4 linked regions of the Macaca fascicularis genome follow. The protein of the gene in region 2 purifies or fractionates together with the protein of the main gene of each other region. This does not show direct contact. Links are inferred from orthologs where the notes say so. Each region holds a gene or a part of one and is shown on either strand. Other genes may lie near its edges. The genes, in order: CEP170, MAPK6, ECH1 and ECI2.

The links.
Region 1: the proteins of MAPK6 (region 2) and CEP170 purify together in Homo sapiens (affinity purification with mass spectrometry; 3 studies listed by BioGRID and IntAct, with this or other methods). This does not show direct contact. The link is inferred for Macaca fascicularis from reciprocal best matches to the Homo sapiens genes MAPK6 and CEP170.
Region 3: the proteins of MAPK6 (region 2) and ECH1 purify together in Homo sapiens (affinity purification with mass spectrometry; 3 studies listed by BioGRID and IntAct, with this or other methods). This does not show direct contact. The link is inferred for Macaca fascicularis from reciprocal best matches to the Homo sapiens genes MAPK6 and ECH1.
Region 4: the proteins of MAPK6 (region 2) and ECI2 purify together in Homo sapiens (affinity purification with mass spectrometry; 3 studies listed by BioGRID and IntAct, with this or other methods). This does not show direct contact. The link is inferred for Macaca fascicularis from reciprocal best matches to the Homo sapiens genes MAPK6 and ECI2.

The regions. Positions count from the first base shown.
Region 1 is NC_088375.1:6,090,544-6,094,849, forward strand, and holds part of CEP170 (centrosomal protein of 170 kDa), read left to right. Parts: intron 1-2,102; coding exon 2,103-2,196; intron 2,197-3,256; coding exon 3,257-3,308; intron 3,309-4,306.
Region 2 is NC_088381.1:28,454,319-28,459,313, forward strand, and holds the start of MAPK6 (mitogen-activated protein kinase 6), read left to right. Parts: upstream 1-1,579; 5' UTR 1,580-1,783; intron 1,784-4,995. UniProt on the Homo sapiens protein: Atypical MAPK protein. Phosphorylates microtubule-associated protein 2 (MAP2) and MAPKAPK5.
Region 3 is NC_088393.1:45,898,578-45,903,628, forward strand, and holds the start of ECH1 (delta(3,5)-Delta(2,4)-dienoyl-CoA isomerase, mitochondrial), read right to left. Parts: upstream 3,233-5,051; 5' UTR 3,198-3,232; coding exon 3,032-3,197; intron 2,942-3,031; coding exon 2,758-2,941; intron 2,615-2,757; coding exon 2,526-2,614; intron 1-2,525. UniProt on the Homo sapiens protein: Isomerization of 3-trans,5-cis-dienoyl-CoA to 2-trans,4-trans-dienoyl-CoA.
Region 4 is NC_088378.1:168,909,907-168,914,995, forward strand, and holds the start of ECI2 (enoyl-CoA delta isomerase 2), read left to right. Parts: upstream 1-2,005; 5' UTR 2,006-2,025; coding exon of another isoform or gene 2,026-2,069; 5' UTR 2,070-2,255; coding exon 2,256-2,482; intron 2,483-2,998; exon of another isoform or gene 2,999-3,296; intron 3,297-3,894; coding exon 3,895-4,057; intron 4,058-5,089. UniProt on the Homo sapiens protein: Able to isomerize both 3-cis and 3-trans double bonds into the 2-trans form in a range of enoyl-CoA species. Has a preference for 3-trans substrates.

The sequences.
Region 1 (4,306 bases), on a different chromosome or scaffold from region 2:
TACCATTATATTTACAAATTGTTTTTTGTGTTTTGTTTTTTTGTTGTTTTTTGTTTTTGTTTTTTTTCTGAGACGGGCTAGAGTACAGTGGCATGATCACAGCTCACTCACTCAGTGCAGCCTTGACCTCCCTGGGCACAAGTGATCCTCCCACCTCAGCCTTCTTAGAAGCTAGGACTACAGGCATCTGCGCCACACCTGGCTAATTTTTTTGTATTTTTTATAGAGACGAGGTCTCGCCATGTTGCGCAGGCTGGTCTCGAACTCCTGGCAGCAAGTGATCCACCCAGTTTGCCTTCCTAAAGTGCTAGGATTACAGGCATGAGCCACTGTGCCTGGCCAACAAACTGTATTTTAAAATAAACCTTTTATTTCTTCAGTGGCGCATTTTTTTTTCAGGGACCATAGGTAACTATTCTAACCCATTTTCACCAAAGGTGAAATGTCTATGGTTTAACAGTTTTAGATCCACAAACACTATACTCAGTAGCCATCCTCTGGAAAAATTCACTGAATTTTTAGCACTGTGTGGCTAAACAGAAACTTTCTTTATTGTGTAAGTCCATTAAAGTTCTAAGTTGGTCCATGAAATAGTCATTATTTCCTTATTCTCCATCAGTCCTAATGCTGCAAGGACTCTTTTATAAGAACGTAATAGTTTAGAAAAGATGGCTGGCAAGGGTGTTTATTTTTTTTGAGTTTAGAAAATTTAATAAGTAGGCAATAAGAATATTCTTATACCAGATTCTAGACCCATTGTCACGTTAAGCAAATGTTCCAGACTCGATGTGATGTTAATGAATTTCGTGATTTTACATAAGGTAAGTCTGGTACGTTGATCTTTGAAGAAATACCAGCACAAATATTCACTTAGTTTACTGCTTAAATGCTGTTCAGCTTCCAGTAGTAATAAATTTACATGAGATTTATAGTGTTTACACTAGATTTCCAGACGTACTGAAGAAATTTTAAAAGAAACCAAAAAAGTAGCTAGTATTTTACATCTTTCTAAAACTGCTGAATCATGTCTTATAGATTCTAAAGTGTTAGAGAGAAAAATGTCCCACATTTGGAAGACACATCAAAATGTTGTGGTCCTTTATTTTATAAGTTATTTGATGTTAGGGTAATGATAGAATAATTATCTTTATCGGCAATTGTTTTTATCAAAAGAATAGCATCCTAATTCCTAATAGGTTATTATGTACAAATATACTAACACGAATTAACAATTTTTAAAGAAAAGCACAGTAAGTACTCCCAATTTTCAGTCTTTAAAATAATATACACACTTTTCTTGTTCAATAAGGTGCTTATTCCTATATAAAGAAGTCTTTACAGACACAATTGTTTATACCTAATTTAATCTGTTTATCTCACTTATTCCTATACTTCATATATTCTCTCTGAACAAAATTGCATTTTTTTTATAAGTGACAGTTACACAGTCGTTTCTCCTTATAATCAGGTGATACATGTTGTTCCAAGACACCCAATGGATGCCTGACACCACAGATAGTTCTAAAACCTAATATACTGTGTTTTTTCCTACACATACATGCCTATGATAAAGTTTAATTTATAAATTAGGCGCATTAAGAGATTAACCATGGTAACTAATAATAAAATAGAAGATTTATAACAGTATACTGTAAAAAAAAGTTATGTGAATGTGGTCTTTTTCTCTCTCTCCCTCTGCCTCTCCCGAAATACTGTAATAGTTTCGGACTACGCTTGACTGCCACTAACTAAAACCTTGGAAAGAGAAACCGTAGATAAGAGGGCATTACTGTATTGTAAATTATAAATATTAAAGTTTTGAGGTCATAACATCTTTACATTTGTTTTATATTTTGTTTTCAATAAAGAATAAGATAAACAGTAAAAAATGTATTCATGTATTAATAAGCATTCAATTGGAGCTCATACACATTCATTAATTGGTATTGTTGGCTTAGTATTTTAATTCTCAATTTATGCAATGGTTGGGTTTTTTTTCTTCATGTACCTTTGAAAAGATACGTTGTTTTGGTATCATTAACAAAAAAGTAATAAGTTTTTAAAATATAAAAAGTTATATGCTTATGTTTTTTGATTTATAGAATATTATTTAAAGACAAAGATCGGAATTGGGATGACATAGAAAGCAAATTAAGAGCCGAAAGTGAAGTCCCTATTGTGAAAACCTCAAGCATGGTATAGTAATTTTTCTTGAAGATTAAAACATTTTAGTAGAGTTTTATTTTAAGGAAAATACCCTTATTTTTGAGCTATTCGTTGATTTGCTTTTTCAAAAGAATATATAAATGCAAACTTTTGGGAAATTGTATTGCTTCTACTGACTCACAGGTTTAAAATGTTGATTGTTTCAGAGTTGCAGAGGGTATGAAGGAGGAGCCTTTTGTGTTTCTTACTAGTATATATTCTTCTTGTAATAATTAAACATTAGAAACATGAAATTTTTAAAGAGAACCAAATTTAACTTGAAAATATTAAGTTGACATAAGTTGTTTCCATTTACTTAATGTAATACTTATCTTTTTAAAAGAATTTGTAGAGATTTTCATTGCTCAGAATACAATTATAATATTGAGGTTGCAGTTTATATGTTTTTACAAAGATAATTTGAAGGCATTTTTACATAGTCACTGCAAGGTTGATTAATAAGAATTTTTAAAAATCTTTGCGGCCGGGCAGAGTGGCTCACGCCTGTAATCCCAGCACTTTGTCAGGCCAAGGAGGGTGGATCACTTGAGGTCAGGAGTTCAAGACCAGCCTGGCCAATATGGCAAAACCCTGTCTCTACTAAAAGTACAAAAACTAGCCAGGCATTGTGGCAGGCGCCTATCATCCCAGCTCCTTGGGGGACTGAGGCAAGAGAATTACTTGAACCTGGGAGGAGGAGGTTACAGTGAGCCAAGATTGCACCATTGCACTCCAGTCTGGGCAACAGTGAGACTCAGTCTCAAAAAAAAAAAAAAAAAACTTTGCTTAAATAGTAGTAAATGACTTTAAACTTTTCATCTGCTACAATCATCTCACTGAAAAATCATTCTATTTCATTGTAATTTAAATATTTTAGTTTGAATCTTGTTTAGTAGATATAATTATTTCATATCATGTTGCTATTAATGTAATAAGTACCATGTAGATAATATTAAGTGTTCCAAATAAAATGAGAGTGAAATTCATTGCTTGTAAACGGATACCATTTAGCTAAAGTAGAGGCTAATTTTTGTTATTGCTTTCCCTGCAGGAGATTTCTTCTATCTTACAGGAACTGAAAAGAGTAGAAAAACAGCTACAAGGTAAATAGACTACTGAATTAAGTATAAAGAGCTAATAATTTAGAATAAGTGCCTTCTAAGTGGTATTTCTTAAAATATTCTTATTGTTAGCATATTATTTGATTAAATGTAATGACATACATAAAATATAGAGTTCTATACATTCACATTACTCATAAAAAGGAATTTTTTAAACCCAGTGTAAAAATTAAAAATATAATAAAGATATATGTGGGGCATATTTTAGTTCATAGGTTTGACAATAGGCTAGATGTCATAAACTAATTGACATTTTTTATGTATTAAATAATACGTGAAAAATATATAATAAAGTTGTGTTAATTAGCATTATTTGTGTGATTTGACAATTCTTAAATTATGTTGGTGGTGTATGTAACCTGAAACAAACTTACATTCTAATAGAAATAATAGTTGCTTAGTTAACAAGAAATGAGTACATATTGGCCATAGAGACCAGAAGAGAAAGGAGAGGAGAAAATGAAAGAGACTGCCCTCTAAACTGTGAAAGGGACGTTGTTTGGTTTGTGTCAGAGCTGGATTGTACATTAATGCCTGTGTATCTCTTGACCTAGAAGTCCCCAGTGGTACAACAAGCAGGTTCCATAGTCGACTGCTGATTCTACTGAGTCTTTATCTATTGAATAATCATAGGTACATATGTGGATCCTATCAAAATGATTTTTAACCTTTATTCAGCCCCAGCATACCTAAGGGTTATGATACACCCCATGAGTAAAAGCGGCTTGCTAACACAGTGCTTCTTAGCTGGTAGACTGGGGGTATACTTTTAAAAGTACCTTCGACATGATTCTTACATCTGTGTTACTTCCTTCTCCCAACTCCCTACTCTGCCCAGTGCCAAACTGAAAATCACAGCCTGTGAACTTTCCATGTCAACCCAAAGATCTTTTGGATTGAAAGCTGATCTTTAACTGACTCCTCCCATACAGGCAGCAAGTTTGTTTGGCTTTGCAAACTGCCCTGCAATATTAGTCTGT
Region 2 (4,995 bases):
TCTCAGCACTTTGGGAGGCTGAGGTGGGCAGATCACGAGGTCAGGAGTTCGAGACCAGCCTGACCAACACGGTGAAACCCCGTCTCTACTAAACATACAAAAATTAGCCGGGCATGGTGGTGCGTGCCTGTAATCCCAGCTCCTCAGGAGGCTGAGGCAAGAGAATTGCTTGAACCTGGGAGGCAGAGGTTGCAGCAAGCCGAGATCGCACTATTGCAGGCCAGCCTGGGCAACAAGAGTGAAACTCCGTCTCAAACAAAAAACAAACAAACAAAAAAACACCATCTGATCTCGTGAGAACTGATTCACCAACATGAGAACAGCATGGGGGAAACCCGCCTCCATCATCCAATCACCTCCCACCAGGTCCCTCCCTCCACACATGGGGATTATGGGGATTACAATTTGAGATGAGATTTGGGTGGAGTCACAGATCCAAACCATATCACCTTTCTACTTCTGCCTTGATCACTCATCGGATTTGGGCAACCCAGAAAAGGCACATCTTCTTGGGCAAGGTAGCTCTCTGCACATGAGGCAAGCCCAGAAGGAAATGGTAGCTGACAGCTGTGTGCTAAGCACAGTCCCCACAGCAGGGCAGCACCTTCCTTGAAGGGGGATCTGGTCAAAACATCTCAACATCCACCACAGGTATCATGTCAGCAATTGACTCTCAAATTGTTCAAGTAAAAATTAATTATGCTATGTACGCAACTTTTCTGTTAGTTTGAAATACTTTAAAAATAAAATGCTTTTAAAACAAATGAACAGACTTACACAAATTAAATATGACTGAAAAAAGGTCTGAAAAAGAGCCTCCTGTTTTTTGTTGTTGTTGTTTTTTGAGACGGAGTCTCGCTCTGTGGCTCAGGCTGGAGTGCAGTGGCCGGATCTCACCTCACTGCAAGCTCCGCCTCCCGGGTTCACGCCATTCTCCTGCCTCAGCCTCCCGAGTAGCTGGGACTACAGGCCCCCGCCACCACGCCCGGCTAGCTTTTTGTATTTTTTTAGTAGAGACGGGCTTTCACCGTGTTAGCCTGGATGGTCTACGATCTCCTGACCTCATGATCCGCCCACCTTGGCCTCTCAAAGTGCTGGGATTACAGGCTTGAGCCACCGCGCCCGGCCTGAGCCTCCTGTTGCTGATACAAAGAAAGGAGCATGATGTTGAAAAGATGAAAATTCATTTGAATGAATAAAATATGGATGGCCAGAAGAATTAGTGAGAGGTAAGAGTGAAACAGTAAATTGAAGCTTCATCTTTGCTGATGCAATATAATTCCAGGCCTTCAGAATAGGGCAAGAATGCAGAATGCTTATTGCCTCACATTTACACTGGCCTTTAATTTCACCTCACCTCTTCTGAGTAGGTGAAGTCTCTTCTAGCTTGCCTTTAGTAGTTCCTGTTCCCTATCTCCCTCTTCCTTTTGTTCCTTTCCTCCTCACGACCATCATGAAAATTGGTCTGTGGAGATCTGAGTCTTTCCTAAGCTTCTCATACTGGGATGAAGATTATTTTTAGGATTAATCTGAGTCACAGAGGGAGGAGGGAAAGAACCATTTTAATCTTTTCCTTTTCACTCCTTCATAACCTGCTGTACGGCTAAATCATTTTACAAACACGTCTTTCCTCCTTTTCCCTAGGAATGCTTTGCCTTTTATTTTTCCTTTGGAAACAGTATCCATAAGCCTTCATCAGAAGCTTCTAAAAGTGGAAGGAATTTTTCTTTGTTAGAATGGACCACGGGCTAAATTAAAGGAGATTGCTATAAGCTGCTTTCATGTAAGTAAATCCATTTATTATTATAGCGGTTGTTGGGATCTGAGGGGTTATATAGTTGCCCCTGCTTCCCTTTCTCACTGGCCCCCTCAGCTATACCCCTGTCTTAGTCTGTTTTGTGCTTTTTATAACAAAATACCTAAGACTGAATAATTTATAAAGGAAAAAAAAATTATTTGGCTCACAGTTGTGGAGGCTGGGAAGTCTAAGAGGGGACGGCATCTAATAAGGGCCTTCTTGCCGCATCATCCCATGGTAGAAGGCGGAAGGGCAAGAGTGATCTCACGAGGGCAAGACACTGAACTCGAAGCTTCCAGCTTTATTATAATCAGCATTAATCAATTCATGGGAGTGCAGCCCCTATGACCTAAACACCTCCCATTAGGCCCCACCTCCCAACGCTGCTGCATTGGGGATTAAGTTGCCAACATACCCTTTTTGGGGAACACCTCCAAACCATAGCAACCCCACTCTGGATTTTCCCTTCTGTCCCTCCGAGGCTGAGTGTGGAAGGCACTCCTGCTTTCTGTGGAGAGATGCAGGCAGAGACTGTGTTTGACCTTCTTCCTTTGCAGCAACACGCTTGAGCATGCCTCATGTTTCACTGTTGGACCACATTTCTTTGAAGGGTAAATAAGCATGTGAACGCTACACTTTAAAAAACATCTCTACCAATTTACACATTAAACACTGAGGAAACAAGGAAGAACAAACAAAACCCCCCTACTAAGTTACCCCAAAAGGTGGGAGAAAGTTCTGTCTTGGATAAAATAGGCACTCAAAGGCTATCTGTTGAATGAATTGAATGAATGAAGAGAGATCTGGGCCAGGTGTGGTGGCTCATTGCCTGTAATCCCAGCACTTTGGGAGGCCGAGGAGGGCAGATCACCTGAGGTCAGGAGTTCAAGACCAGCCTGGCCAACATGGCGAAACCCCATCGCTACTAAAAAAGTACAAAACTTAGCCAGGTGTGGTGGTGGGTGCCTGTAATCCCAGCTACTCAGGAGGCTGAGGCAGGAGAATTGCTTGAACTTGAGAGGCAGAGGTTGCAGTGAGCTGAGATCGCACCACTGTCCTCCAGCCTGGGCGACAAGAGTGAAACTCCATCTCAAACAAACAAACAAACAAACAAACAAAAAAGATCTGGCTTAACTTAGGTGAATGATAGTTTAAACAGGCAAGCTTCTGGCTGAAGATACTAACAACAACCCTTATTTAGAGTAGGTTAGCCTTTTCAGAGTGCTTCCACACATTATCTCATGTACTCCTTGGACAGACCCTGCCCTGCGAGGGAGGGGAGCAGGTGCTATTTATACCATTTTAAAGTTGAGATTAAATGACTTGCCTGGAATCAAACAACTAAGTGGCAGAACTGGGGCCAACACCTAGGTCTGCTGACTACCACTGGCACCAAGGCACCAGAGAGATTCTTCTGGTTTCAGAGTAGAGCCCCCAAGGGTTACTGTTGGAGGACTTGTCTTACTTAAAACTGTCATAGACTGTGTGGAAGCAGACCCATGTAGGAAACATCACACGGCTGAAATGGCCTTAAGCTCTCCAGGGGAGTAAACACCAAGCAGATGGATCTAAATTGAAAAGATAAGCTTCACACAGCTTATGTGAGTGGACAAAAATATGGCAAATGAGTTTCATTCTGTACTGAATTGGAATAATGCATTTAGTATTGTTAGTCTAAAGTCACTTAAAAGATGAGTTTGGAGCTGTGTTTTATTCTAAGAGACCCATGAGTTATTGTTGACTATTTCCTAAAGTCATATAACAATATGCTAGGCCTCTTTGCTAAGAACGTGGAAAACAGAACTGAAAGCATTATTTTGTCTTACATTTGACAAAATGGTAATGAAGTTATACGTGGAATCATGCATTTAATTCTCCCTGGAAACCGTAAAAAAGAGTCTAGTATTTCATACATATACCAGGTCAGAGAAAGAGGTAACTAAAATGACCAAATAGATTTCCTAAGAAGAAAGTTGCTTTAAAAGTAGAATTAAATAAGGGAAAATTTGAAGGAAACCCCTATTCACCTTTCATTTTTAACAAACATTTATTTGAGAAACCACTATATTCAGACACTATGCTCAACACTAGAGTTTACAATGACTAAAACACAGAAGTTCACAATCATTGTGTGAGAATACCAGCCGGGATGAATCATGAGTCCAACTCAGCACAGCTATTCTTGTGTGCTTAATGAATTGGCAGCTGGTTTAGGGTGCAATCTCTTGAACTTGGTTGGTATGTGTTGGTTGCCGAGGCCAATCAACCCTGGTAAACCTGCAATCAAGTTCTTCAAGCAGCAAGTCTGAAGGACTGGACCCTTCATATCAGCTACAGCATAAAGTGAAGTTATGATTTATTAACAGTGTCGTTAACATTTAGTTGTTTACCTGGGTCTAACAGATACCATCCTTCTCTGTGGTCTCAGCACTTCTGAGCTAGGAAGGTGCAGATAGTCCCTGCTTGTGACTGAATTATGTTCCCAAAAGTTGATTTCTAACTTGGTTGTTTGAAACTGAAAATGCATTTTTTTCCCCAGAGAATTAATGTTAGAAATACTGGTTCTGTTCTCAGGCAAACTCTTAGAAGGCCATTTAGCTTTGAGACTATAGAACTGTGACCTACGACATTGTTTCTATGGGAAAATGTGCCCCAGAAGGAACAAGGTCTTCCTTCCTACCCCACTTCCTACCTCCCTGTGTAATGAAGCCTGTGTGTTTACTACAGGAAGTGCTGCTCCCAAGAGTGGGCGGCTGGGCTTTGAGGCAGCCTTGGACACTTATCCCCAAGGGCAGAGATATTCTCACTTCTCCTGCCCCAGCTCTGGCAGGGAGGGGAGTGGGAGCAGGTCGGGAGTCTGTCCCTGACCCATCTTCTTCAGGGCTTCTGGTGGGTGGGGTTCTAGCAAGACTGGCTACATAATTTCTGGGGTCCTTTGTTCAAAAGGCAGAAAAATAAAAATGCTGCTGAGCTAGTGAAGTATAAAACTTTTTTTCCTTTCTTCTGCTCTCTCTCTCGACTTGTTACAGTGTTTTAAATATGTGATTTAATGTTGTTCTATGTAAGAAAAAAGAAAAATTTAAATGATTAGCATGAATGTTATAATTCATTGTTATACTGTGCAAAACCAGTTTTAAATACAAATATAAGATCATTTAACTCCCGAGGCAGGAGGATTTGCTTGAGCCCAGGAGGCC
Region 3 (5,051 bases), on a different chromosome or scaffold from region 2:
GACCGAGGCCTGCTGTGTCACCCAGGCTGTAGTGCAGTGGCGCCATCTCGGCTCACTGCAACCTCTGCCTCCTAGGTTCACGCCATTCTCCTGCCTCAGCCTCCCGAGGAGCTGGAACTACAGGCGCTCGCCAACACGCCCAGCTAATTTTTTTGTATTTTTAGTAGAGACAGGGTTTCATCATGTTAGCCAGGATGGTCTCAATCTCCTGACCTCGTGATCCACCTGCCTTGGCCTCCCAAAGTGCTGGGATTACAGGCGTGAGCCACGGCGCCCAGATTTTTTTTTTTTTTTTTTAAGTAGAGATGGCGTTTCACTGTGTTAGCCACCGCGCCCGGCCAGAAGACAAGGATTTTAAATCAGTCATTATAACTATGCTCAATGGCAGGAAGAAAAACATGCATGAGGCCGAGCGCGGTGGCTCAAGCCTGTAATCCCAGTACTTTGGGAGGCCGAGGCGGGTGGATCACGAAGTCAGGAGATCGAGACCATCCTGGCTAACATGGTGAAACCCCGTCTCTACTAAAAATACAAAAAACTAGCCGGGCGTGGTGGCGGGCGCCTGTAGTCCCAGCTACTCGGAGGCTGAGGCAGGAGAATGGCGTAAACCCGGGAGGCGGAGCTTGCAGTGAGCCGAGATCGGGCCACTGCACTCCAGCCTGGGTGACACAGCGAGACTCCGTCTCACAAAAAAAAAAAAAAAAAAAAAAAAAAAAAGAAAAACATGCATGACAAAAAATAAATAAATGACCAGGTACAATGGATCACTCCTGTAATCCCAGCACTTTGGGAGGCTGAAGTGGGCAGATCACTGAAGGCCAGGAGTTCAAGACCAGCCTGGCGAAAACAGTGAGAACCTGTCTCTACCACAAATATAAAAATTAGCCGGGCATGGTGCCGGTTGCCTGCAATCCCAGCTACTCGGGAGGCTGAGGCAAGAGAATGGCTTGAACCTGGGAGGTGGAGGTTGCAGTGAGCCGAGATTGTGCCACTGCACTCCAGGCTAGTCAACAGAGTGAGAGTCCTTCTACAAAAAAGAAAAAAAAAATTAGCCAGGCCTGGTGACAGGCACCTGTAATCCCAGCTACGCAGGAGGCTGAGGCAGGAGAATTGCTTGAACCCAGGAGGCAGATGTTGCAATGAGCAGAATTGTGTCACTGCACTCCAGCCTGGGTGACAAAGCGAGATTCTGTCTCAAAATAAATAAATAAATAAATAATGAACCAAATGGGAATTGGAGAATTGAAAACTACAATATCTGAAATTTAAAATCAGTGGGTGGTACCTGGGCGCAGTGGCTCACACCTGTCATCCTAGCACTTTGGGAGGCCTAGGCGGATGGATGACCTGAGGTCAGGAGTTTTAGACCAGCTTGGCCAACATGGTAAAACCCCATCTCTACTAGAAACACAAAAAATTAGCTGGGCGTGGTGGCAGACGCCCGTAATCCCAGCTACTCGGGTGGCTGAGGCAGGAGAATCACTTGAACCCAGGAAGCAGAGGTTGCAGTGAGCTGAGATTGCGCCATTGCAACAAAAGCGAAACTCTGTCTCAAACAAAACAAAACAAAACAAAAAAATCTGGGTGGGCTTTACAGGAGGACAGAGATGAGGAAAGAGTCAGTAACTGTGATCAGTGGAAATTCTCCCATCTGAAGAACAGGTCAGTGGGTCAATCCAAAGATCCAACTGACCTGTAACTGGAAATCAATGAGTGAGTTGCAGAGTTGCATGAAAGCATGTTATTATATTATATGCTGACACAGCTATAGACTGAGAGGTTAAGCATATTCTTCATGGCCATAGATCCAGGATGGAAACCCAGACTTCAGAGCCTATGATCCCGTCATGTTCTGTTGGACTAATTTTCATATTTGAATGTTTTAAATTAGGCCTTTAAAAAAAAAATGATAGGGCTGGCCATGGTGGCACCTGCCTGTAAACCTGGCACTTTGGGAGGCCGAGGTGGGAGGATGGCTTGAGCTCAAGTATTTGAGGTTACAGTGATTTATGATTAGGCCACTGCACTCCAACCTGGGTGACAGAGCAAGATCCTGTCTCCCAAAAAAAAAACCACACACACACAAAAAACAGATAAAACTGTAAGTTAGGGGTCGGAGTGGTGGCTCACGTCTATAATCCCAGCACTTTGGGAGGCTGAGGCAGGCAGATTATGAGGTCAGGAGAGCGAGACCATCCTGGCCAACATGGCGAAACCTCGTCTCTACTAAAAACACAAAAATTAACTGGGCGTGGTGGCCCGCGCCTGTAGTCCCAGGCAGGAGAATTGCTTGAACTCGGGAGGCAGAGGTTGCAGTGACCTGAGTTTGCGCCACTGCACTCCAGACTGACAACAGAGCAAGACCCTGCCTCAAAACAAACAAACAAACAAACAAACACAACAAAACGAACAGCAAAAAAAGTGTAAGTTAGAAGCTGCTTAAAATCCTAATTAAGAAGCACTGCTCCACTGTCTATTGCCAGGAGCTGGGAAGGCTGGTAGGGTGTGTGAAGAGCGTCTGGTACCTGCAGTGAACATTTTTCCTGCACCAGAGATCACCACCGCCCGACAGTCAGCGTCTCTCGAAATCTTGTTGAAGCACTCTACCATCTCTCTGTGAAGCAACGAGTGAAGGGCTACAAATGGGGTGGGAATACCCTGCCCTCATGTCCATCTCCCCACAAGGTTCCACTCTGGCTCAGTCCCGCAGCCCCCGCCTCCCCCAGCAGGCAGGCCTCCAGGATCTGCAGGTCACACCTCCAGAAGGCCTTGTTCATGGCATTCCTCTTGTTGGGCCGGTTGAGCTGGACATGCAGAACGTGTTTCTGCGCAGATGTCACACGAAGGGACTCATAGCTGTGGTCTGGGGCTTCCTCTTGTGCAGAGGAGCCAGTGAGGCGAAGGCTAATACTGAGGCCCGAGTAGTTGGAGGCTGTCAATCCTGCGGAGAAAGGAAGAGCCTTTGATGACCCCAGACTCCAAGACACAGGCCTATAGAATTAGGGAGCCCTTCAAAAGGGAGCACACGCACCCCTGAATTTAGGGGACTCGGGCCCTTCGTGACCCCGGATGGGCCTCCCCGTCCTACAGCTGCTATAACAGCACGACAGCGCGATACACCACCATAAGTCAAGAGGTGACTCACGTCGGCTCAGTAGGTCGCGGAGTCTGCGAGAAGCCACTATCCCCGCCGCCATCGCCGCCGCCTTCGTCTACGGCGTTGGGACCGAGTAACCCACCAGTTAGCGGAAGGGGCGGGCACAAACGGCCGCCATGTTGAGCGAGGGCACCGATGCCGCAGCCTGACAGGCAAAGACGCCGTTCTCCCCGCCATCTTTACTAAGGGCAGCCGAGTTCCGGTTGCCTTACATAGTTAGAGCCAAGCTCAGAAAAGGACCCTTTGCCCCAGTGGGAACCTGGCCTGAGAAAATAGCTCCTGCAACGGTGTGAACCCGGGAGGCGGAGCTTGCAGTGAGCCGAGATAGAGCCATTGCTCTCCAGCTCTCCAGCTTGGGAGACTCAGTCCAAAAAGGAAAAGAAAATAGCTCCTGCTAAAGTTCATGACACCTATGTTTCATAATGGTGGAATAATTGGCGACAGCTGAAACGTCCAAGGACATAATGGCAGCAGAGCTTGTCATCATGCATGTGTATATATCATGTTAACTAAAAATAAAACTTGCATTACTGTGAGTTTACCCACGTAAAGGAATGAGTACAGACGGGCCAACATTAAGCGCTGACTGTATATGAACTCCCACCGGGAGGTCGTACTGTTTCCCACTATATGCAGAGGAAACTGACTCAGGCACGGGAAGACACGAGGTTCAAGGTCTCTGGGCTTCGGAAGGGCTAAAGTAGGATTACATGGTTCCAGAGTTCATATTCTTAGGCCGGCGCGTGGTTCACGCCTGTAATACACTTTGGGAGGCCGCGGCAGGCGGATCACCTGAGGTCAGGAGTTCAAGACCAGCCTGGTCAACATGGCGAAATCCCGTCTCTAGTAAAAATACAAAAATTAGCTGGGTGCGGTGTCCGGCACCTGTAATCCCAGCGGGAGGCTGAGGCAGGAGAATGGCTTGAGCCAAGGAGGCGGAGATTGCAATGAGCAGAGATTGCGCCACTGCACTCAAACCTGGGTGACAGAGCAAGACTCCGTCTCAAAAAAAAAAAAAAAAAAAGTTCATGTTCTTAAAAAAAAAAAAAAAGCGAAACTCCCTTGGTAAAAGCCAGCTATCCGAAGGCATAAAAAGTACTTTAAAACTGCTGGCCGGGGCCGGGCGCGGTGGCTCAAGCCTGTAATCCCAGCACTTTGGGAGGCCGAGACGGGCGGATCACGAGGTCAGGAGATCGAGACCATCCTGACTAACACGGTGAAACCCCGTCTCTACTAAAAATACAAAAACTAGCCGGGCGAGGTGGCGGGCGCCTGTAGTCCCAGCTACTCGGGAGGCTGAGGCAGGAGAATGGCGTAAACCCGGGAGGCGGAGCTTCCAGTGAGCTGAGATCCGGCCACTGCACTCCAGCCTGGGTGACAGAGCGAGACTCGGTCTCAAAAAAAAAAAAAAAAAAAAAAACTGCTGGCTGGGAGCGGTGGCTCACGCCTGTAATCCCAGCACTTTGGGAGGCCGAGGCGGGTGCATCACGTCAGCAGATTGAGACCATCCTGGCTAACACGGTGAAACCCCGTCTCCACTAAAAATACAAAATATTAGCCGCGCGTGTTGGCGGGCGCCTGTAGTCCCAGCTACTTAGGAGGCTGAAGCTGGAGAATGGTGTGAATCTGGGAGGCGGCGCTTGCAGTAAGCCTAGATAGCGCCACTGCAGTCCAGCCTGGAGACAGAGAGAGACTTGGTCTCAAAGAAAAAAAAAATTAGCGGGGCGTGGTGTTAGGTGCCTGTAATCCCAGCTACTTGGGAGGTTGAGGCAGAAGAATTGCTTCAACCCAGGAGGCAGAGGTTGCAGTGAGCCAACATCATGCCACTGCGCTCCAGCACTTCAGGCTGGGTGAGAGAGTGACTCTGTCTTTAAAAAAAAAAAAAAAGTATAGC
Region 4 (5,089 bases), on a different chromosome or scaffold from region 2:
AGTTTTGTCTCTAGCTTTGCAATCCATTCCAGCATTTTTTTTTTTACATGGACTATATTAACTAGTCTTTTAACCTCTTCTTTAGCACCCTGTTGGTTCCCTAATTAATGAGCTAAGTAAATCTCTGACACATGCTCTTTCTATATCTTTAAAATTATACTTTGAAAAAGATAAGCTCATTTCCCACACCCCACTCTTTTCTGTGGTAGGAATAAGCCTGAGAGTAGTTTGTATTGCAAAAGGTTTTACTATCAAAATATGCTTACCAGTACGAGATTTTAAAAATATTTCCACGACAGCCGTTTCATCTTCTGGAAATGAGTGAGTCTTGTATTATCTGCAATATCTGATTACTGCATTTCCATTACCTCTGAGGGTCACCTAACAGCCTTGGAGAGAGTCAGGGTCTCTGAGAGAGGCAGCTCTGCCTACCAACTACCACTCTGTAATATCTGGAGAGGCCGGGTGTGGTGATTCACGCCTGTAATCCCAACAGTTTGGGAGGCCGAGGCGGGTGAATCACCTGAGGTCAGGAGTTTGAGACCAGTCTGACCAATCTCTACTAAATACAAAAAATTTAGCCAGGCCTGGTGGCGCATGCCTGTAATCCCAACTACTCGGGAGCCGGAGACAGGAGACTCACTTGAACCCGGAGGTGGAGGTTACAGTGAGCCAAGATTGTGCCATCACACTGCAGCCTATGCAACAAGAGGGAAACTCCATCTCAAAAACAAAAACAAAAAAACAAAAACATGTATCTGGAGAAAGGCTTTGGGATAAGCCCAAATTGTTCTACTTGACTTTCGGTGTTGCCCTACCTACACTATTAGCCAGATCTATCTGATGAAACTTACTGCTAAAGTTACTTGAGACTTGGATTCTGCTCACCTGCAAGCCTCATGTCTTTGGGGAATTCACCAGGTTAATCTTTCTGGGTCTCAGTTCCCACATCAGCTCAACAGGGCAATATGCTCAACAGGGCAATTTCCACATCAGCTCAAAAGGGCAATATCGTTTTCCTTACAGGGTTGTCCAAAGACTTACAATTAGCCTGGCTCACTATCGATGGTCCACAAGTGTCAGCTACCTAATACTAAAACGCCTAGGCATGCTTGGATAGGACAACTTGGGCACAGAATTTAGAGGGGTGGTTTTGTTTTGTTCTGTTTTGTTTTTTGGTTCTCTGGGAACTGGACAAGGTGACACAGCCAAGGCCCTTCCAACTCTTAAGAATTCTTCCCCAAAGAAAATACTTTGCATATGCCTCAGCAGAACTCAAAAATATCCACGAACTCTTAACTGACACTAAAAAGGTGCATACTCCAAAAATCACTTCTGATTCCCAGGTGTCCTACCAGGTCTGCAAATCTTCGATTTGGGGGTGCATGACCTAGCTGCTCTTAAGCATACGCCCTCAATTGTTACCCCATCTCCCGGCTCACGGCTGGCCCTCGGGATGCAGCGACCCCTCCTCGCCAGGCTCCGCGGGACTCCGGGAAGGGCACTCAGTGCTCCAGCAACGGCAGGGTTCGCATTGCTGAGGTCCGCCCAGAGAACAGCCGCGCCTCCAGCTCGCAGTTCCTCGGAGCCAGGCCCGGGAGCATTTGTGCCCCGCCCCACGCGCCGCGTAGGCCTCCCCGGATCACCGTCCCCGCACCCCGCGCCCTTCCTCCACTCCCGGGTGATACCTCGCCTCGCTCTGGCTCCGCCCCCGCATCTCAGTCCCGGATCCTGACCGCCTAGAGACCCCGCCCCGCCCACGCCCCGACCCCCGGCCCCACCCCCGAGCCCCCGCAGCCCCAGAGCCGCCCACGGGCTACTGACGCCGAAAGCGGCCTGGCTACGTTCTCAGCCTGGCCCCGCCCCAACCCTGGCCCCGCCCATGCCCCAGGCTCCTGCCTGGGCTCTGCTCTCGGCCCCGCCCCGCACCCAAGCCCCGGCCCCACCCCCAAACCTCCGCAGCCCGCGAGCCCAGGCCCCGCCCCCGAGCCCCGGCCCCGCCCCTGAGCCGCCCACGGGGTAGCGATGGCGCACTTGGCCTGGAGACTTGCAGAGCGTTGGTGTCCGAGGTAAGCTTGGAGCCCCGGCCTCCCGGCCCAAGGTTGCCCGCAGGATACCGCTGTCCAGGCGAAGGTCGCCGCCGTTGAAAGACCCTCCTTCCCTATTGTCTAGGTGGCAACAGGACTTTCTTTGCTGGTTTTCCAGCGAGGCAGTACTAAAGGATAACCCCCTCACTCGCGCGCCCTCCTGCACCGATGGGCCCAGAGGGGTCAGCATGGGCGCGTCGGAAGATCAGGGCTATGGTTCTCTGTCCGCAGTCCCCGAGGTCTCCGCCTGCGTTCGCGCACGCTCCCATCCTCCGGGGGCCGGACTCCGGGCGGGTGAGCCGCCCAGCTGGGCACGGTGGTTCCCCGGACACCCGGGCCTGCACTTCCCAGCCGGGCTGCCTCTGGGGTGCAAAGCGTTGCTTGCTAAAAGCGAGGTAAACGCAAGCCGTTACCACTCGTGTGGACTTAACACTCTTTGCCCTTTGGAGAACTCGTATGCTATAAAGTGAAATGGCCGGGTACGCAGTCACGGCTAAGCAGCACGCTCCACGTCCCTGGGGTCCCGGGAACCCCGCACGAATCTGTGTGTAGGGAACAAAACCGAAACACGGTGGTGGCCTTGAAGTGGTAAAATTATTAGTGATTTTCCCGACTTTATGTATTTCTTAAATGGTCGTGTTTTTGCTATTTGTTTTTAAAACTCACGCTTTATTTAAAAATAAATAATTTGTTCCACATTTTGTGGAAACTTGTACGTTTCTTCTTTTTGTGGACATTTTAAATTTTTCTTTCGTTTTCTACTTGGAATTTGCCATATAAGATGCAGTTTTTCCCTTTACAGAAAATCATTTTAATATAAAACTTACTGTAGGCTGATCTTACTGAATCAGTTACTAATAGTCCAAAGTTTGAACCTAGAGTTCATTGTACCATTTTCGAGTTACGTAATTGTGTTTGTGTGTGAGGTTTGGGCTTTGTAACCTGTATTATTTTAATCATCTTTGATGCCATTAACTCTACTATTCCGGGTCATCGTCGTGAACATCCATTTTTTGCTTGTGGCCTGCCTGAGTCCTGTGCATTGAAGTTTGCCACCCCACCCCCGCTCACTATGTGTGCTTAAAAACCTGCTCGTCACCCCGCGGTGGTTACTGTTTCTGCTCTGTTCCTGGCTGGCTGGTTAAACATCCCCACAAAAGGGGGCACGCCTGCTGAGCCTCCTCCTTCACTGACTCCCTTCCACTGCAGGTAGATTCCCTCCCATCTGCTGAGAAGGCTGTGGCTCTGTCTGGAATGCCAGCAACTGTTGCTATGCCCTTTTGAATATTTCTTGTATATTCACATCCATTCTCCCTTCCTTCCACCTGTGTGTATGTTGGAAACCGGTTTTCCAGCAAAAAGACAAGAATTGACCTGATATAGTTTATGGCTTATCAGTGAGTGCAGAGGCTGTTTCAGGACTTTGGGACACGTTACAAAATTCTGTGCACTTTAGCTTTTTGGTCTCTTGCTGTTCACTGTCTTGCATGCGCTTCACTTCTTGCTTTTGGCAAAATTTACATGGTATTCCTGTTCTGGCTGTTTTTATCTTAAATTGCTTACAAATACTTCCCTGGATGGTTATTTACTTTTCCATTTATTTAAAGTTAGTACTGTTAGCTTCCGTATTGAGTTACTATCTTGGAATCCTTACAGCCAATTATTTGCAGCCAGTTTGCAGAGGCAAGTATAAAGAAAATATGGACAAACATAGCATTTTAGTATGTATGGGTTGGGAACAATTAGAAATCAGGCTGCAGAAATGTGAGGGTTGGGAACATATAGAAATCAGTCTGCCTAATTGTAGTTCTCTGCAGGTCATTAGTTTCCCAGTAGTTCAGCTGCACCTGAATAGAACAGCAATGAGAGCCAGTCAGAAGGACTTTGAAAATGCAATGAATCAAGTGAAACTCTTGAGGAAGGATCCAGGAAATGAAGTGAAGCTAAAACTCTACTCACTGTATAAGCAGGTAAATGCCTACGGTCTGACATTTAAATAATTTTAGGCAAATGACTCCTTAAGTAGATAAACTGTGTGTTTACTAAAATGTAGCCTTAATATTTTGGGTTTGTCTTGCTCCCTCTTAAGTATGTGTGTGTGTGTGTGTGTGTGTGTGTGTATATATATATGTGTGTGTGTGTATATATATATATGTATGTATGTATATGCGCGCAAGTTTTTTAATATTAGACCTTGAAATATTATCAAGGCACAAAGTGCCTCAGTGTCATGCCAGAGTAAAAGAGACTTACGAGATATAATATTCACATTTGTAGACCTTATTTAGCTCTTGATTAGAATAAATCAATTGAAAAAGGTATTTTTAAGATAATTGGGGAAGTTTTGAATAAGGTCAGAGTGTTAGAAGATACCTAGAAATCATTGTTAATGGTGTCAAGGTTATATAAGAAAATGTTGATATTTTTAAGAAGTGCATACTAAAGGATATAGGGGTGAAACAATGGATAGTTGAAGTTCTCTAAGCAAAAAAAGAAAGAAAAGGATAGATGAGGCCAGGCATGGTGGCTCACTTCTGTAATCCCAGCACTTTGGGAGGCTGAGGCGGGCAGATCCCTTAAGGTCAGGAGTTTGAGACCAGCCTGGCCACCATGGTTAAACCTCGTCTCTACTAAAAATACAAAAATTAGCTGGACGTAGTGGCGTGCACCTGTAATCCCAGCTACTTGGGAAGCTGAGGCAGGAGAATCGCTTGAATCAGGTTGCAGTGAGCCAAGATTGCGCCACTACACTCCAGCCTGAGTGACAGAGCAAAACTCTGTCAAAAAAAGAAAAAAAGAAAAGAGAGAGAGAGAGATGAAGCAAGTAAGGCAATTTGATCGTTGTTGAACCTGGATGATGGGTATTGGGAATTCATTATCGTATTCTACTTTGGTATGTTTGGAAATGTTTATAACAAAATTTAAAACCTAAAGCTTTGAAGTTTCAATGCCAAAGACTTCCCCGATGTATCTGCCTCTCTGGGCTCCTGTGTTATCTGTTT